2 linked regions of the Oryzias latipes genome follow. The protein of the gene in region 1 interacts with the protein of each later gene in a pairwise test. Links are inferred from orthologs where the notes say so. Each region holds a gene or a part of one and is shown on either strand. Other genes may lie near its edges.

Evidence for each region.
Region 2: the proteins of pex12 (region 1) and pex10 interact in a two-hybrid assay, tested with the Homo sapiens proteins (4 studies listed by BioGRID, with this or other methods). The link is inferred for Oryzias latipes from reciprocal best matches to the Homo sapiens genes PEX12 and PEX10.

The regions. Positions count from the first base shown.
Region 1 is NC_019866.2:23,910,101-23,918,374, reverse strand, and holds pex12 (peroxisome assembly protein 12), read left to right. Parts: upstream 1-3,114; 5' UTR 3,115-3,379; intron 3,380-5,545; 5' UTR 5,546-5,555; coding exon 5,556-5,678; intron 5,679-5,744; coding exon 5,745-6,268; intron 6,269-6,356; coding exon 6,357-6,723; 3' UTR 6,724-7,270; downstream 7,271-8,274. Other genes in the region: insulin-like growth factor-binding protein complex acid labile subunit, read left to right, coding at 1-101. UniProt on the Homo sapiens protein: Component of a retrotranslocation channel required for peroxisome organization by mediating export of the PEX5 receptor from peroxisomes to the cytosol, thereby promoting PEX5 recycling.
Region 2 is NC_019865.2:33,557,423-33,565,263, reverse strand, and holds the end of pex10 (peroxisome biogenesis factor 10), read right to left. Parts: intron 5,912-7,841; coding exon 5,831-5,911; intron 5,761-5,830; coding exon 5,363-5,760; intron 4,859-5,362; coding exon 4,692-4,858; intron 4,602-4,691; coding exon 4,466-4,601; intron 561-4,465; coding exon 492-560; 3' UTR 317-491; downstream 1-316.

The sequences.
Region 1 (8,274 bases):
TGCTGGTCACTGTGGTGGCCGCCGTGGTGATGGCGGAGAGGAACAGGAAGCGGAACCGCCGGAAGAACTGGGACACAGAGTCCCAGAGTCCTCCGTCTTGATTAGCAAAGCCCGATGATCATGATGACTGGGGCTCCAACCTTTCTGATGATCATCATAAGGATTTTTATTGTGAATCCAGAATTTATGACAGTTGCTGCTGTGTTTCATGACAGTTGTCTTTCCTTTTAACGTCAGAGATCTGAAGATTTATCGCTTCGTTGAGTAAATATCTTTTGGAGTTGGAAGAAGTCAAAGATGTAAAAGCTTAGAAGTTATGGTCCCAGACGTTGTTTAAACCCTAATAAAGCTTTTAGTCTTTTGAAATTGGGCAACATTTCGTTTCCAGATGTATTTTTTATTTAATTAGCGACATCATTAATTATTAACAAAACAATCTCATTTTACTATAAAACTGCCTCCTGAATCTCTCGAGGAAAACGTGTCCCACACCTCATGCAATAAGATCTGAAAACTTGCCTCCTGAAGTCTGACCTTGCATTACTCAGTGATGAATTCATGATTGTCCAATAGATATCTGCATGTTTGATGCCTTCAATACTAAAAAATAGAAGAGATGAAGAAGCTCCGATAAAATGCCGTCCATTTAGGAATGACTGCTCAAACAGCAGCAATGGGGAACCACAAGCTAAGGATCGTGCACGTCAAATTGGTGCAAAGGAGATTGTGGAATAAGCGCAAAGGCTGCTGGAACAAACAAACAGACTCCAGCCCCTGAAATGGTCTGATTTCCAGTTATCACAAGTTACGGTTGATTTCTGTCATTTGAACACAGGAGTGGAGCACTCAGACCACTGCAGCGCACTATTTCCCCTTTTTCCCTGCAGCAAAAAAAGAAAAACACAACTGTGTCAGCTTTTGTTACCATGACTGGTTCCATATCAAGCTCAACAATTGCAATTCCTAATTCTTTCTGTCTAATGTAAACATATTTACTAAAACAGAAAATACAAACACTTTCTACCAGTTTTTGTGATGTTTTTATCTTCTTTTGGATTTGTGTTAAAGTTGCACCAGTGAATTCCCATCTTCCAGGTATGCAAGACAAAAATGCACAACACTGCCTGCAGCGAAGCATCATCTTGGCAAATTATATTGCATGTTCAAAATTGATTTGATTTGTATCACTGCTCCCAGTTTTTTGTAAGTCCTACCAGAAAGCCCCATATTTAATTTGTATTAAAAGCATCTGTGCAAAATGCATAAACCGTGTTGTCATGTCTGTTTAGAAGTCACCTACTAAAGCCAGAATGGAAAGAAGTTTGTGTAAATTATGTAAATTGTGCCTATGGTTCCTTTTTAGATCCACATGAACTATACTAAAAGTAATGGGAAGTAAGACAGGAGCTGTAGATCCACCAAAATACTTCAGAAAAGATCATAAAACGTGGATACTTTATTCTTTTTGTCCCCGTAAACATAGACCCTGATTCACCACATGAAATTACAAAAACTCAAGGAACTTTGACTAAAAGTCAGAAAAGGCAAAGTAAGCAACAGTACACACACACACACACACACACACACTGGTCAAACCTTTACTTGTAAATGAAGTCCATTCGTGTCTCCTTCTGGACAAAAATCTCTGTGACTTTAACGTAAAAAACCCTTCTTATCTTCTTTCCGTTACAGAAGTCTCAATAAAGATGTGTGCTCAGCGTCGGCCATCCATTAATTATTACTTAATGTTATAAATCAAAGTCCACCTTTGAATCTTTTTTCTTTTTCTTTTAACTTGTTCTTTCCAACAACTGAGCAAACAGATGAGAGCTGGCGGCCATTTCCTTTGGACAGGTTTTACTACAATAAGGGGGTTATGTATGTATCTTCGGATAAGGGTGTATAGCCCATCGAGACGACTGTTGTTGTGATTTTGGGCTATACAAATAAAATTGAATTGAATTGAATTGAATATATTTGGATAAGCCCCTTTTTTTATTTTATTTATTTATTTATTACAAATTATATTTTAATATATATTTTCTTTCTCTTTTCTTACAGAGGGAGAAGAGAGAGGAAAAATGTGAAAGTTTTTCTCTGCAGAAGACATTGGACTCGTGAATAATCGTTACAAAACTCTCATATCAATTAGATTTCGAATTCTTGAAATTGATGACGACATATTTGCCGTTAAAAAAAAAAGTAGTGAGCATGGTGTCCAAATTACTTTTAAAATCCAGAGCACTACATAGTGCTGTACTGTGTAGTTTTTTAGTAGTTAAGGAGTAGGGTAGGAATTCAGACACAGCCACAAAATACTGGCTCTCATTGAATAAACTTTATTAGTAACAAATGTGGAACAAACGAGTTCACCAGCGCCCTCTCTGTTGAGACGGTGCTACTGCGTACCTCAACGACTTATCTTTTCAGTGCGGTTTTGTGTCACATTTTTAACACAAACGAGACATACATGAAACACATTAAATGTTAAATGGGAAGGGATGACATGCAACAACATTTTGTACAATTAAAGTTTATTTTAAAATAAAGCATTACATTTACGCTGTTATATATTTGGGGTGGTTAAGGGGTTGCTTTGCTAAAAATCGTATTGAGCCTAAACATGACCACACTCCATGGCACAGGACATGACAACGTCAAAAAAGCAATAAAAAGCATAAACAGTTAAATTATAACAGTAAAATATAAATTATTCTTGGCCTGTTTGGATTTTGACCAAATGAGGAGGAAAGAACCTGGCGGAAAATTATAAAAAGAAAAAAAAATAGAGCACCGCAACAGTCTGATGCAAAGTGACTGTTTTTTTGTTGTGAAAATGTTTTGGTTTATGAATAAATACACATAAATAATTTATACTAACAAGCAGATCTAAGCATAACATTATTAATTATGGATAATAGTAGATCAGGTTTTCCATAGTTGATGAAAACAAAAAAAGATTGAAGGATGGATAAAAAAAAGTGTTTCACTTTATCTACGCATGATTCTATCTTTAAAATAACAATGCAAGTCTTCTTAAAGCACATTTACCTTTTTTTTTCTTTTTTAGCAAAGCAATAAGGATAGAAAAGGAATTATTAGACGATGTGCTTGCAGACAAAAGCTGAAAAACTCGGGAAGTTTCTGTTGGAACGTCTGGTTGAAATGAACTGCAGACGTCCCGCCCTGCGCTTCCGCCTCTGTCCAGCAGGTGGCAGCAACGCTGATGAAAGCTGACAGTTCAGAGAAGAAGAGAAGGCGGAAGAAACAAAACCAAATCACCAGAACCGATCCGAATCTCTGCAAGGAGCCTCCAACGCCGTGGTTGGGATCGATACCAACAGTCCAGTTCTGATGCTGAGGGCGTGAACCCGGCCCGGTTTGTTTGTTTTTTTCTTTTTATCTTAGTGTTCCCGCCTCGAACCGGACCGGGTTGGTACTGATCAGGCATACCATAAGTCACTCACACAGCTGTAACGTGGCTTTTGAGCCGGTTCTGTTCGGATCTGAGTTCAGTTGAAGTGAAAGAATCGCAAAAAGTTCTGATCGCGACTGCGCATGTCCAGACATCCATGTGCCTTAAAAAGAGAACGTGTTTGGCACGGTAGATTGTTGTTGTTGTTAAAATGTGCAAACTACAGCAAACATACAGAACAAATGGAACTATTAAAATGCTAGGAGATGGCATATGAATACAAAACATGCATCATAATAAATTAAAACTGTTCATAGGCAGACAATATGTATTTATGATTATTTTGTTTAACACTATGGGAAATGGTGAGATTCTATTGCTTGAATTCTTACAGGGAAAAAAGTTGGGATGAAGAGAATGTAGCTTTGTGTAGATGAGACTGAAAAAAATAGAATCTATACAGTACAGACCTCATTTAAATGAATGGGAAGGTGTGTCCAAACCTTTGGTCTGTACTGGATGTCAATTGCATAGGTTGATTGGCAACTCTAAATTGTCCATAGGTGTGAGTGTGAGAGTGAATGGATGTCTGATTGAGGATATTCTACCCTGCGACAGACTGGTCGCCAGTCCAGGGCATCCCTTGCCCACGCCAAAGTGGCTGGGATAGGCTCCGGCAACCCCGTGACCCCGAAAGGGAATAAAACGGTTAAGAAGATGAATGAATGGATGTCAATTGCAATTTTTATGTTCAATTTTGTGTTGTTTTCATACATTCTTTTTTTTTTTAGGTAATATCTCACTCTCTAAATAAGTCACTAATTGTTTCTGGGTTTGTTTTACAGAGTGTACAGTTGTATTGACATGTTTTAAATCTTTACATGAACTGATTAGTGGAGTAGATTCTATGTAGGAATTCATTGATTCTCAATGAATCATTTCTGAGGCACTGTCCAAACATTTTTTCAAGTCAGGGACAAAGTTTTTCTAACAGAAGACAGCAGAAGAAACAGAAAAAAACATGTTGTACGTGGTCACACAGGTGGGCCTGTGGATTCACAGGTGGGCCTGCAGACTCTCAGGTGGGCCTGTGGATTCACAGGTTGGCCTGTGGATTCACAGGTGGGCCTATGGATTCAGAGGTGGGCCTGTGGATTCACAGGTGGGCCTGCAGACTCTCAGGTGGGCCTGTGGATTCACAGGTGGGCCTGCAGACTCTCAGGTGGGCCTGTGGATTCACAGGTAGGCCTGTGGATTCACAGGTGGGCCTGCAGACTCTCAGGTGGGCCTGCAGACTCTCAGGTGGGCCTGTGGACTCTCAGGTGGGCCTGTGGATTCACAGGTGGGCCTGTGGATTCACAGGTGGGCCTATGGATTCAGAGGTGGGCCTGTGGATTCACAGGTGGGCCTGCAGACTCTCAGGTGGGCCTGTGGACTCTCAGGTGGGCCTGTGGATTCACAGGTGGGCCTGTGGATTCACAGGTGGGCCTATGGATTCAGAGGTGGGCCTGTGGATTCACAGGTAGGCCTGTGGATTCACAGGTGGGCCTGCAGACTCTCAGGTGGGCCTGTGGATTCACAGGTAGGCCTGTGGATTCACAGGTGGGCCTGCAGACTCTCAGGTGGGCCTGTGGATTCAGAGGTGGGCCTGCAGACTCTCAAGTGGGCCTGTGGACTCACAGGAAACGGTAACAAAGTGACCTTAATAAAGTTCATGCAGAGATTTCTAATGGGAACCTGGTCCATCTTATAAAAAACCTCTTAGAACAGTTCTTAGTTTTCCCGCTCCGATCATTTTTTGATCTATTCACCATTATGTTGTTTTTGACTAAAATTTTTAAAAAATCTGTCGTTTTCTAGGACATAGTTCCTGCAGAGTGGCAGGAGTTCATTAGAAATTCCCCTCTGAACTGTGGTGCACAGCAACCCCGCCCCCCGTTTCCATCACATATAACATAGACCTTTTTGTCAACACTCTGTCCCTCACACCCCCAACCTAACACTAGCAGAAAATGGCGAGCAACATCAGAGCCATCTAGCTGTACAGTTTGGTAAAAATTGGACCCAGTCTGTTCTGGTTCTGGACCCACCTGCACCGTTCCTCTAACATCCAGTGGTTTGGTCCCTCAGGCCGGCAGCCATGGCCGAGGCGGGGGCCCATCTCACCTCCACCTCCATCGGTGAGCAGCCGTCCATCTTTGAGGTTCTGGCCCAGGAGTCGCTGCTGGAGGCCGTCCGTCCGGCGGTGCAGCACGCCGTCAAGGTGAGGCTCCAATAGTTCTGGCTCCTCACTAGAAGAACGCCAGCTCTGACTCTCTGACCGCTTCAGGTTCTGGCGGAGTCCAGCCCGGCCCGCTTTGGCTGTCTGTGGAGGACTTTTGATGAGCTCTACTTGCTTCTGGACCTGCTGCTCCAGAACCACTTCTTGTCCCGCTACAGCGCCTCCTTTTCTGAGAACTTTTACGGCTTAAAGAGAGTGTCAGAAGGGCGGGAACGTCCTGTGCACAAGGGGCTGCGCCGTCCCGCCCACTGGCGCTCTCTTCTTTTGCTGTGCCTGGTTCCGTACCTGCGGGCCAAACTGGAGGCCCGGCTGGTCCGGCAGAGGGATGAGGAGGACTTCTCCATCCAGTTGGCACGGTCGAGGACACGGAGGCTGTACAGCGCGGCGGTGGCGGCGTTCCCGTACATCAGCTCGGCGTGGCGCGTCTGGGTCTTCTGCCAGCAGCTGCTCTTCGTCTTTGGATCCTCCAGAACCCACAGCCCGCTGCTCTGGCTGGCCAGGGTCCGACTGACCCGACTGACTGCTGCAGATTTCCGAAACATCGAGGGGTCTGACGACCCCGCTCACAGCAGGTAGACCCAGTTCTGTCCTGGTTTTAGAGGTTTAGGTCCAAAGTGGCAGAAAAAAAATGTTCTTAACCATGTTTCTGTTTGGCTGCAGGGTCGGTTGGATGATGTCACAGGCGGCGAGGGGCGTGGCCACCTCTCTGTCCACCTTCCTGTCCATGGGCGTCTTCTTCTTGCAGTTCCTGGAGTGGTGGTACTCGCCAGACAACCAGAGCACCGTGAGGGGTCTCACGTCCCTGCCTGCACCCCCGCCCCCCCTCCACCTGCAGCAGGACTCGAACAGCCGGAGCTGCCCGCTCTGCCACAAGTTGTGCGCCAATGCCACGGCGCTGTCCACCTCCAGCTTCGTCTTCTGCTACCCGTGCATCTACGCGCACGTGAAGGAGCACCGCTGCTGCCCCGTCACAGGCTTCCCCAGCGCACCTCAACACCTCATTAAGATCTACGCGCCTGAGGGTTAGAGCGACGGCGCCTCCCGCTGGACTCACGCGTCCGCTGCTGAGAAATAAAATCACCAAGCCGTAGGCTTTTCGAACTGGCCCTGAACGCCACCGTCTGAAATGAAAGTCCCGCCCCAAGCGTCAATCTTTATTGAACTGAGCTCAATCAGTTTTGGCTCCTCCCTGTCCGGCGCTCAGAGTCCATTTGATCTATTTCACCAACAAATGAAGGAAGAAATGCTTTTGATGAGGCAATAAAGAAGTTCTGAATAAGATCAAAGTGTTTTCTGCTATGATCTCTGTTGTAGAACCATTGACTGCAAATGAGAACAGGACTGAGTGACTCCTCCCCTTTGGCGTTTCAAACAGGAAGTACCTGCTGGTCCAAGAAGCCAAAATTCCTTCTATAGAGAAATAAACAGCTGTTACTCATTCTATTGGTCAGAAGAACCGTTCTGGATCTGATATCTTTTTCCAACATAAACCTGATTGTCCTCATTTTTTTGTTTCTTCAAGTTACAAACCGTCCAATCAGATGCCTTATTAAAAGTAAGTGGTTCGAAATGCTTGATCGACTGTGTTCTTGTAGCTCGCTTTCAAAGGGGTGTGGACTTCCAACAAGCTCTCTCCGCTCCTGACGAGTAACTTCCATGTTTTTGATTTAGGGCACCTCGTGCCAAATGACTATCGGGTGAAAAGGGGAACAAACATCAGTGCCGTCCCACACAGTAGTACCTCCCACTTTCTTCTTCTGCCTCATTTTTTAGTGTTTCATTCTGATTTCTGGAAATTACTTTGTTTTTCGAAATGTTTCCCTTTTATTTTGTCTCTTTTTTCTGAATCACTTTTTTTTCTAGACATTTGTTTTGGGGCTGCATGGTGACAGTGGTTTGCATGTTTGCCCCCAGAAAAGAAGGCTCTGGTTCAAATCCCAGGCGGGACCTTTCTGGGTGGGGGTTGCATGTTCTCCCTGTGCAAGAAAATGGATGGATTTGCTCTTTTTTTATTGAAAAGTATATGAAAGATCACAACAGAATAAAAAAAACAATGAACAGAAATGCTATTGTGACATTACAATACTGGGAAATGGACAGGGGGTTCTTTGTTTGAAATAAAATATTTGGGGGGGGAAAAGGTACGGTGGCCCTAAAGTGCAAATCACTCAACATAAAACAATAAAGATCATGACAATGAAAAAAGGAAATTAATGAACAAAATCGTTTTGGAAATGCAAACAAAATTCCGCCCAAAAAACGTTTCTGATTTCCAGAAATCATAATGAAACGTTAAAAAATGAAACCATAAAGAAAAGGGGAGGTACTGTGAGACATCGCCGGTTGGACAAAATTGCATGGAGTGACAGTTGGTGTCATTTGCCCTTCAGGGCCACCGTACAAAGGTGTTTGTTGACAGGGGTAATTATTAGTGAACACCCGGACTTTGAGGCAGAAAGTGCATGTCCCTGGTGTGAGTGGACCCTGGACCGTGCAGCGTGTGGGTCAGAACACTGCAGCACTGCAAACACTGTGGGAACTGCTTTATTGACGAAGGTAACAAGAAGCCCACTAAAAA
Region 2 (7,841 bases), on another chromosome or scaffold:
AAGAATCCTGAGAAGCAGGACAGACATCAGCAGGACACAGCTGCAGCGGGTTGGGGTCAGCCATGTCCCAGTGTTTCTGCAGAGCTGCCAAACGCTGCTCCAGGGTTTTAGTCAGACTTCTGGTCAAACTAATCAATGGCTGAATGCTTTGTGAGACAGAGGAAGTCTTTAGAAAACACATTGGATATCTAAGAGGTTTCTGTTCCAATGTTTTGCCTTCATACAGAAGGTTTCTAAAAAATCTGTCTTTAATCTGTGCACTAAATGAATCTGGATTATTGTTTATGTGGAAGATAAACACACGGAAGCCAACAGCTGTTTTCGCACCTGAAAGAAATTTATTGTTTCAACAGGTTTGAACCAAACTTGGTAAAAAACAAAGGTCATATTTACAACTGTTACAGAAGGGTTTTTCTCAGCAAGTGTCAGCAAGCATGGGGGGGCTCAGCGCTGCAGAAGACTTGTTCCGGTGTGGTGCCGGTCCTGCTGTTCTAGCTAAAGTTCCTGAGAAACACCAGTCTGTGGGGCAGGAACGTCTCCCGGCACAGAGGACACTCGGCCTGAGGACAGGAGCACACATCAGCACGGGTCTTTAGCTCTAGCTTTGGCTCCTCTAGCTGGACCCAAGCATGTCTGCGGCCTCTTTCCTAGAGGAGCGTGCACGCATGCCTGCTCACCGACAGCAGGTCCAGGTCAGCTAGGATGGGATTTGTTTCAGAAACAAAGGAAGAATAAACATCTGCAAATCCTCAGGCGCCTCAGCAGACGGCCCAAAGCTTCATCTGCCATTGTTTTTAACAGGACTGTTGGACCGGGACCAGTGATGGTCTGAAGAAAACATTTACTTTCTCAACCTGAATGGGTTTCTCTGAACCTTATGCAGAAAGACACCATTGGTGAAGTAGAGCTCATCCTGAATGGACCGTTGACAGAAGGGGAAGAGTTTAAAACCCAAACAGAACTCCTCACACAGATTAGACCAGATTCCTTCATTGGGATTTTAAATAATTTAAGATTCATGTGAAAGTCCGTCTATCCTTCCGAAAATCAGAAATCATTGGACTCACATAATCCCCAGAGTACACACAGACTATTTAACCCACACTCTTCCAGCAGGTTCTTTCCTTTTCTCGACTTTAAAGTTTTGAAATGTATAGATGGTTCACGCTCACTAGAAAACATGGAAATATTTTTTAAGAATTAAGAACTGAAGGAAATATCCAAACTTCCTCCAGAGCTCTCTCCTTTTTACTCCACTTTTTCACCTCTCCCATGGTTTTTACATTGTTTTCTGCAGATTTCCCAAAAGTTTTACAGCATTTCTGAGTTTTTACTAATTTCCATTCATTCAATATTCAGAAGCTCAGAGCAGATGACATGACAAGCGGAGGGAGGGGCTGCCCAAATCCTCAAAGTAATCAAGTTTCTCATTAACATCAGGCCAATCCAATCAGCAAAAAGCATTTTTCCCAAACTTTGGCTTCTAGTATTTTAAAAATGGTTTGGAGGTTCAATGTTTGGAAACTTTGCCATTCCTTAACAGTTTTACATTTTTATAACTTTATTCGATTAAAAAAACAACAGTCAAATGTATTTAACGAGCATGGATGTGGTCGTTTACTGTGACATCAGCAGCATCGTTTTCTGTGGTTCTGGACCTCAGTCCAGCATCTTTCTTCATACTGCAGGTTTTTCTGCGTCTGTCAATCACATCTGTGAAAATGAACCTGAAACGGCCTGAACTGGATTTTCTGCAGGGAGCATCAGACCAGAACCCCCCGTGCAGAGTTTGTCCAAGAAGAATAAATGCTCCCCGTAGAATGAACCTTCTGCTTCATGCACACAAACACCCGGATGCTGATGCAGTGCAGACATACACTGTATAACCACAGTATTGGCTCACCCATCCAAATGATCAGAATCAGGTGTCCTAATAACTCATCCTGGTCACAGGTGTATAAAATCAAACCCTCAGCCATGCAGACTGTTTTTACAAACATTTGTGAAAGAATGGGCCGCTGTCAGTGAATCCAAGGGTGGAACTGTCATAGGATGCTACCTGTACAACACATCCAGTGGTGAAATGTCCTCTCTCCTGAATATTCCACAGTCAGCTGTCAGCTCTATCAGGACAACATGGAAGAGTTTGGGAACAACAGCAACTCAGCCACCAAGTGGTCGACCAGGTAACCTGATGGAGAGGAGTCAGAGGATGCTGAAGCTCAGAGTGCAAAGAGGTCACCCACTTTCTGCATAGTCAGCAGAGACTAAGATCCAGGCCTTCTCCACCAACATCAGTGTGTGACCTCACCTATGACCTTTTGGGAGAATGGTCAGACATTCCTAGAAACACTCCTCAACCTTGAGGACAGCCTTTCTAGAAGAGTTGGAGCTGTAACAGTTTCAAAAGGTGAACCCACATCACACTGAACTCTATGGTTAGGAATGGGACGGCACTTCAGTTCATATGGGAGTCAAGGCATGCGAGCCAATACTTTTGGTAATATACAGTCCCTGACAAAAGTCTTGTCGCTTATCCATTTTGTAGAAACAAAAGCCTATAACCTCACTTTTAATGAATCCACTGGTTTTAGAAATGTCTCATATGAAAGCTAAAACCCTCCCAAAATATGTTCAATATACTAAAATATAATTGCTTCACTGAAGAAAGATTGATCATTTAACCCTTGTGCTATCCTAGGCACATTAACGTTGGGAGTTGGGTCATCTAGACCCACTAGACAGAGCTCTGAACCTTTTTTCTTCAATGATTTGTGATCTTCACTGGTGTCCATGGATTAAATGAAATCTTTCCACCTTTATCCACCTTTGTCATGGTAGGGAGAACACCTCAATGGAAGGGGGGGGGGGGGGGGTCATCTAAGATAGCACAAGGGTCAATGAACACAGAAAGGTCACATTTTGGCAAGACAAAAGTTTTGTCGCCTTGTCATATGATGCACCCAATCCTAGATTACAGCCTCACCTGTGAGCAATTACTGATCAATCAATTAGTGGGTGTGTCTAAAAAGAACCCCAGCACACCAGGCCTTCACATCAACTGCAACCTGACCTCTGACAACATGCCTAAGATTCACCCTGAGACCAAAGCGTTGATTATCAAGAGACTGAAGACCAGATCCACTGCTGAGGTGGCTGACACCTTCAATGTGTCTCAGCGTCAAGTACAAAGAATAAGAAAAAGATTTGAAGAGACTAGAGATGTTGTTGACAAGCCGAGGTCCGGCAGACCCCACAAGACAACTGCTCAGGAGGACCGTTTGTTGGTTGGAAAATCCAAGGCCAGCCCCTTTTCCCCTGCAGCAGAGCTCCACCAGGCCTGGTCACCTCAAGCCCCTGTGTCAACCAGAACAGTTTGTAGAGTTCTATCTGAAAATGGCCTCCATGGTCCAAGCAGTGCCCAGAAACCAGCACTAAACAAAAGGCAATTGAAAAAAACGTGTGGCATTTGCCAAGGCCCAGAGCCTGCTAAAAGGATGGACGCTGGAAAAGTGGCAGACGGTGGAGATGAGTCTTCAGTTGAATTACATCACAGGAAACCAACTGGAGCCCGCATGGACTCAAGATTCACCCAGAAAACATTTAAGTTTGGTGGCAGAAAAATCATGGTCAGGGGTTACATCCTGTATGGGGGTGTGCGAAACATTTGCAGGGTGGAAGGCAATATCAATAGCCTAAAATATCAAGAAGTATTAGCTACCTCTTCCATTCCCAACCATAAAAGGGGTCAAATTCTGCAGCAGGATGGTGCTCCATCACATACTTCCATCTCTACATCAAAGTTCCTCAAGGCGAAGAAGATGAAGGTGCTCCAGGACCGGCCAGCCCAGTCACCAGACATGAACATCATTGAGCATGTCTGGGGTAGAATGAAAGAGGGAGCATGGAAGACCAAACCAAAGAATCTTGATGAACTCTGGGAGGCATGGAAGACTGCTTTCTTTGCTATTCCTGATGACTTCATCCATAAATTGTATGAATCATTGTCAAACCGCATGGATGCTGTCCTTCAAGCTCCTGGAAGTCATACAAGATATTAAATATGGATCTCACAGTAGCACTACTTAATTCACTGATGTTATGCAACATAATTTTGTTTTTGAAGTAAATTATTTGTTAAATTTTCACATTACTCTCTGTAGACAACAAAACTTTTGTCTTGCCAAAATGTGACCTTTCTGTGTTCATTAAATGATCAATCTTTCTTCAGTGAAGCAATTATATTTTAGTATATTGAACATAATTTGGGAGGGTTTTAGCTTTCATATGAGACATTTCTAAAACCAATGGATTCATTAACAGTGAGGTTATACGCTTTTGTTTCTACAAAATGGATAAGCGACAAGACTTTTGTCAGGGACTGTAGTGTACCGGGATGTTTAGGTCTTTTTTGGGAGAGGGGCAGTGTTGCTGCATGCTCTGTTTTTCAGGACGCCAGACCTACCTTGGTGTTGCACCACTCAGTTATGCACTCCCAGCAGAACAGGTGTCCACAGGGTGTGCAGGTGGAGTTCCTCCGGGCCTCCAGGCAGAGGATGCAGCGGGCGGCAGAAGGGGCGGGGCTCTGAGGGCGATCAGGACTGCAAACAAAGAGATCGCCTCACTGATGAAAACTGCTTCAAAGATAAAACAGTCTGTCAGTAACATAGACCTGACTCGGGGAGACAGACCTGAGGCTTCTGAAGAGCTTCCACTCCTGCCGGGCTCTCTGTCTCTGCCTGAAGCTGCCCACCTGCAGAGCCACGCTGCCGAGCAGCTGCAGGAGCGAAACAGCAGCCAGCAGCCTGTAGGTTGTCCTGATTGAGGCGTCGTCCCCGCGTAGGCCCTCCACCCGCAGCTGCACCACAGCAAAAGCCCATCACACCAACCTGTCTAACCTGCCCTCAGCTGCTGTGCACAAACATGATGCATCTCCTGCTGAAACTGTTTTTGCATCAGTATTTTGCCTCGTTCTCTGTTTCTGTTGCCATGGGTGACAGCCACCCCCCAGTATGTTTTGGAACGGTGCTGTTCATGGGAAAGGACCACCCTGACCTGCTTCAGGCCCAATAGCAGGAGCTTCCTTCTCCTTTCAGGAAATATCCTGACATTTTTAAAGGGAATGTTTAAGATGCTTGTGAGAGTTTGGATGTGATTTTCCTTCAAACATGTTCTGTCTGCGATTCCGTTGGTTACCTCGTTAAAGAACCAGTTTTCATCAGACAGATGGTCTGTATCGTTGCCATGCCCACAGTTTAGGAGGCAAAGTTGTGGTTTAAAAGACACATTTCAGATGTTTTTTATTGGCCGGGATCCGTCACGTGCCTTGCCCCCCCCCCCATGTGGTGCATGAAGGACTCACGTAGCTGATTCCAGCCGCTCTCTTTGACAGGTGGTAGAAGGAGCTGCTGAGGTAGAAGAGGGTGGTGTGGAGGCGGTGCACAAGCGCCACAGTCTGCTGTGCGATGCCCACAGCTGAAAGCCACACCCTCCTCTGCTCCCCTGTCAGTAGGCACACCCCCCTCTGCACCCACAGCCTCAGCCAGCAGCTTAGGCCCCACCCAGCCGATGCTGCCCGCCGCCTGCCATCCTGACTGCCTTCCAGCTCGTTCTCCAGACACACCAGCAGCTTGTCCAGCAGGTACGGAAAGAAGGCATGGAACAGGACAAAGAGACTGCGCCTGGCCCGGGAGGGAATCTGCCGTTTGGAGGGGTCCACCTGCACGATGTTGACATACTCCTCCCCCAACGTCTGAAAACCTGTGAGGCCAAACCCACACCTGAGTTGCGTCAATAGAGGCCGCCTTCATGTCTGACAGATAAAGCTTACCTGAGAGTGTGGTCAGACTAAGGTAAGTCACGTCAGACAGAAGCTCCACCTCCTTCCTCCAGTGCAGCCAGAGTCTGGATCCTAAACACACACCAGACCGCGTCAGCTCACTGACCCAACACCTCCTGATGGAGGAAAGAAAGCTGAAAATTTCAGGCCCTCAGACAGGTGTGTCCGGTCTGCTGCTGAGCTCCTGGACGTGAGTTCAGCCAATCAGACGCTTGGAGGGCAGAGGTAACTGAGAAGAAGCAGGGCAGTGGCACCAAGAACAGTCTGGACCAGGGTCCCAGAATCCAGGCCTACATGTTTTCCAACCAACCTGACATTGAAGCTCCTTATTGGCTAAACACACCTGATCCAGGTAATCAGCAATAAGGCAGGGATTCTGGAAAACCAGCAGGCCACCGGCCCTCGAGGCCTGGATTTGGGGACCCCTGGTCTGGACAGTCTGAAGAAAACTACCAACCAGGAAAACTTAAAGATCAAAGACGCCTACAGATGGATTCAAAAAACAAAAAAATATGGACCGTCAAACCCTAAAGACTTTGTTAGTCAGTTAGAATTGCTGCATTTCAGAATGTTTAGAAAGTCCCATCACAGTAAAGGTTTTCACTTTGACGGTTTCACGGCGGTCCTTTTGACTGCTTCAAACTTTTCAGCATCAAAACTGTTACAAAAATAATATGAACCAAAAGGACCCTGACTTTTCCTAAATGTGTGTGTGTTTTATTCTATCATTGTTTTGTGATAAAAATGTCAAACAACAATTTCCCAATCTTTCTCTCATTTGTTTTTCTTTGTCCAGTGACGCTAAAATCTATTTGAAGCCTCATTTTAAACCCAAGATACTAAAATGACTGTTAATGTTCAATCAGAAAAGGCCAGATAGATGACTGTGAACAAACTAAATCAGGCTCTAATGTTTTGGTGACTCAAACCTTATAGGTATTTATCAAACAGTGTCTTGGTGCCTTTAGACCTGTTCTCCTAATATTCTTCGATGTTTCAGTGTTCTCCAAACTACAGTCTACACAGAATGACCACAGCAGTCAGAATGGTCTAGTTGTGGAATTCCGGGGGCCGGCAAAATGGCGGCGTGACCGGTTTGTTTATATCGAGCTCCGAGCACCTAACTTTTTTATTGAGCTTTTTTGAAGCAGCAAGATTTTGCCTTTTCTCTAAAACGACCGGGGAACGTTGTGGATTGAAGTTTTTGGATACTTTTTAAAAATTCCCACCATTCAAAATGCCAAAACCTCCTAAAAGAAGCGAATCTTCAAAAGAAAAACAAAGCTCCGCTACCTTGTTACTAGCCGACGAGCACGACTACTCCGGCAGCAGCATGGACATACCCGTGACTTCAGAGGAAGAATTTCCTTCACTCCCAGTGACCCCAAGTAAGCCTCCTCTTGCTAAAAGGCCTACTTTGCCCTGGTCTATGAAATCGGATGAAGCAGTCAACATGCTCGCCGATCTGATCAACTCAAGAAGCGATGCTCTTGAAAAAATGGTTGAAACTGTCCGTTCCGAAATTAAACTCATAAATGACAAAGTTGATGCTATGGAACAACGTGTGGAAAAAAATGAGGAATATACATCGAAATGCTTGGCACGGGTTGCAGATGTGGAAGCTTATGGTCGACGATGGAATCTGAGGCTCTACGGTCTTCCTGAGGCTGAAGAGGAAAACGTGCGTGAGGAGGTGATAAACATTCGCCAGCATGTTCTGCCCTCAGAAAAAAAAAAGTTTCCCGATGCTGTTGATGTCGCTCATCGGATGGGAAGAAAACGCCAGGAGGACCCGAGGCCTCGAGGGGTTCTGATCAGATTCATCTCCCGGCGTCTGAAGGAAGAGGTTTGGAGAGCGGCCAAGAAGAACGGGTTTCTCCAAGCCAAAGGCCTGCACTTCAACGAGGACCTAACTAAAGAGGACAGGGAGAATCGGCAGGAGCTGTGGCTGAAAATCAAGAAAGCACGCGAGGAGGGAAAGGCGGCTTACTTCGTGGGAGGC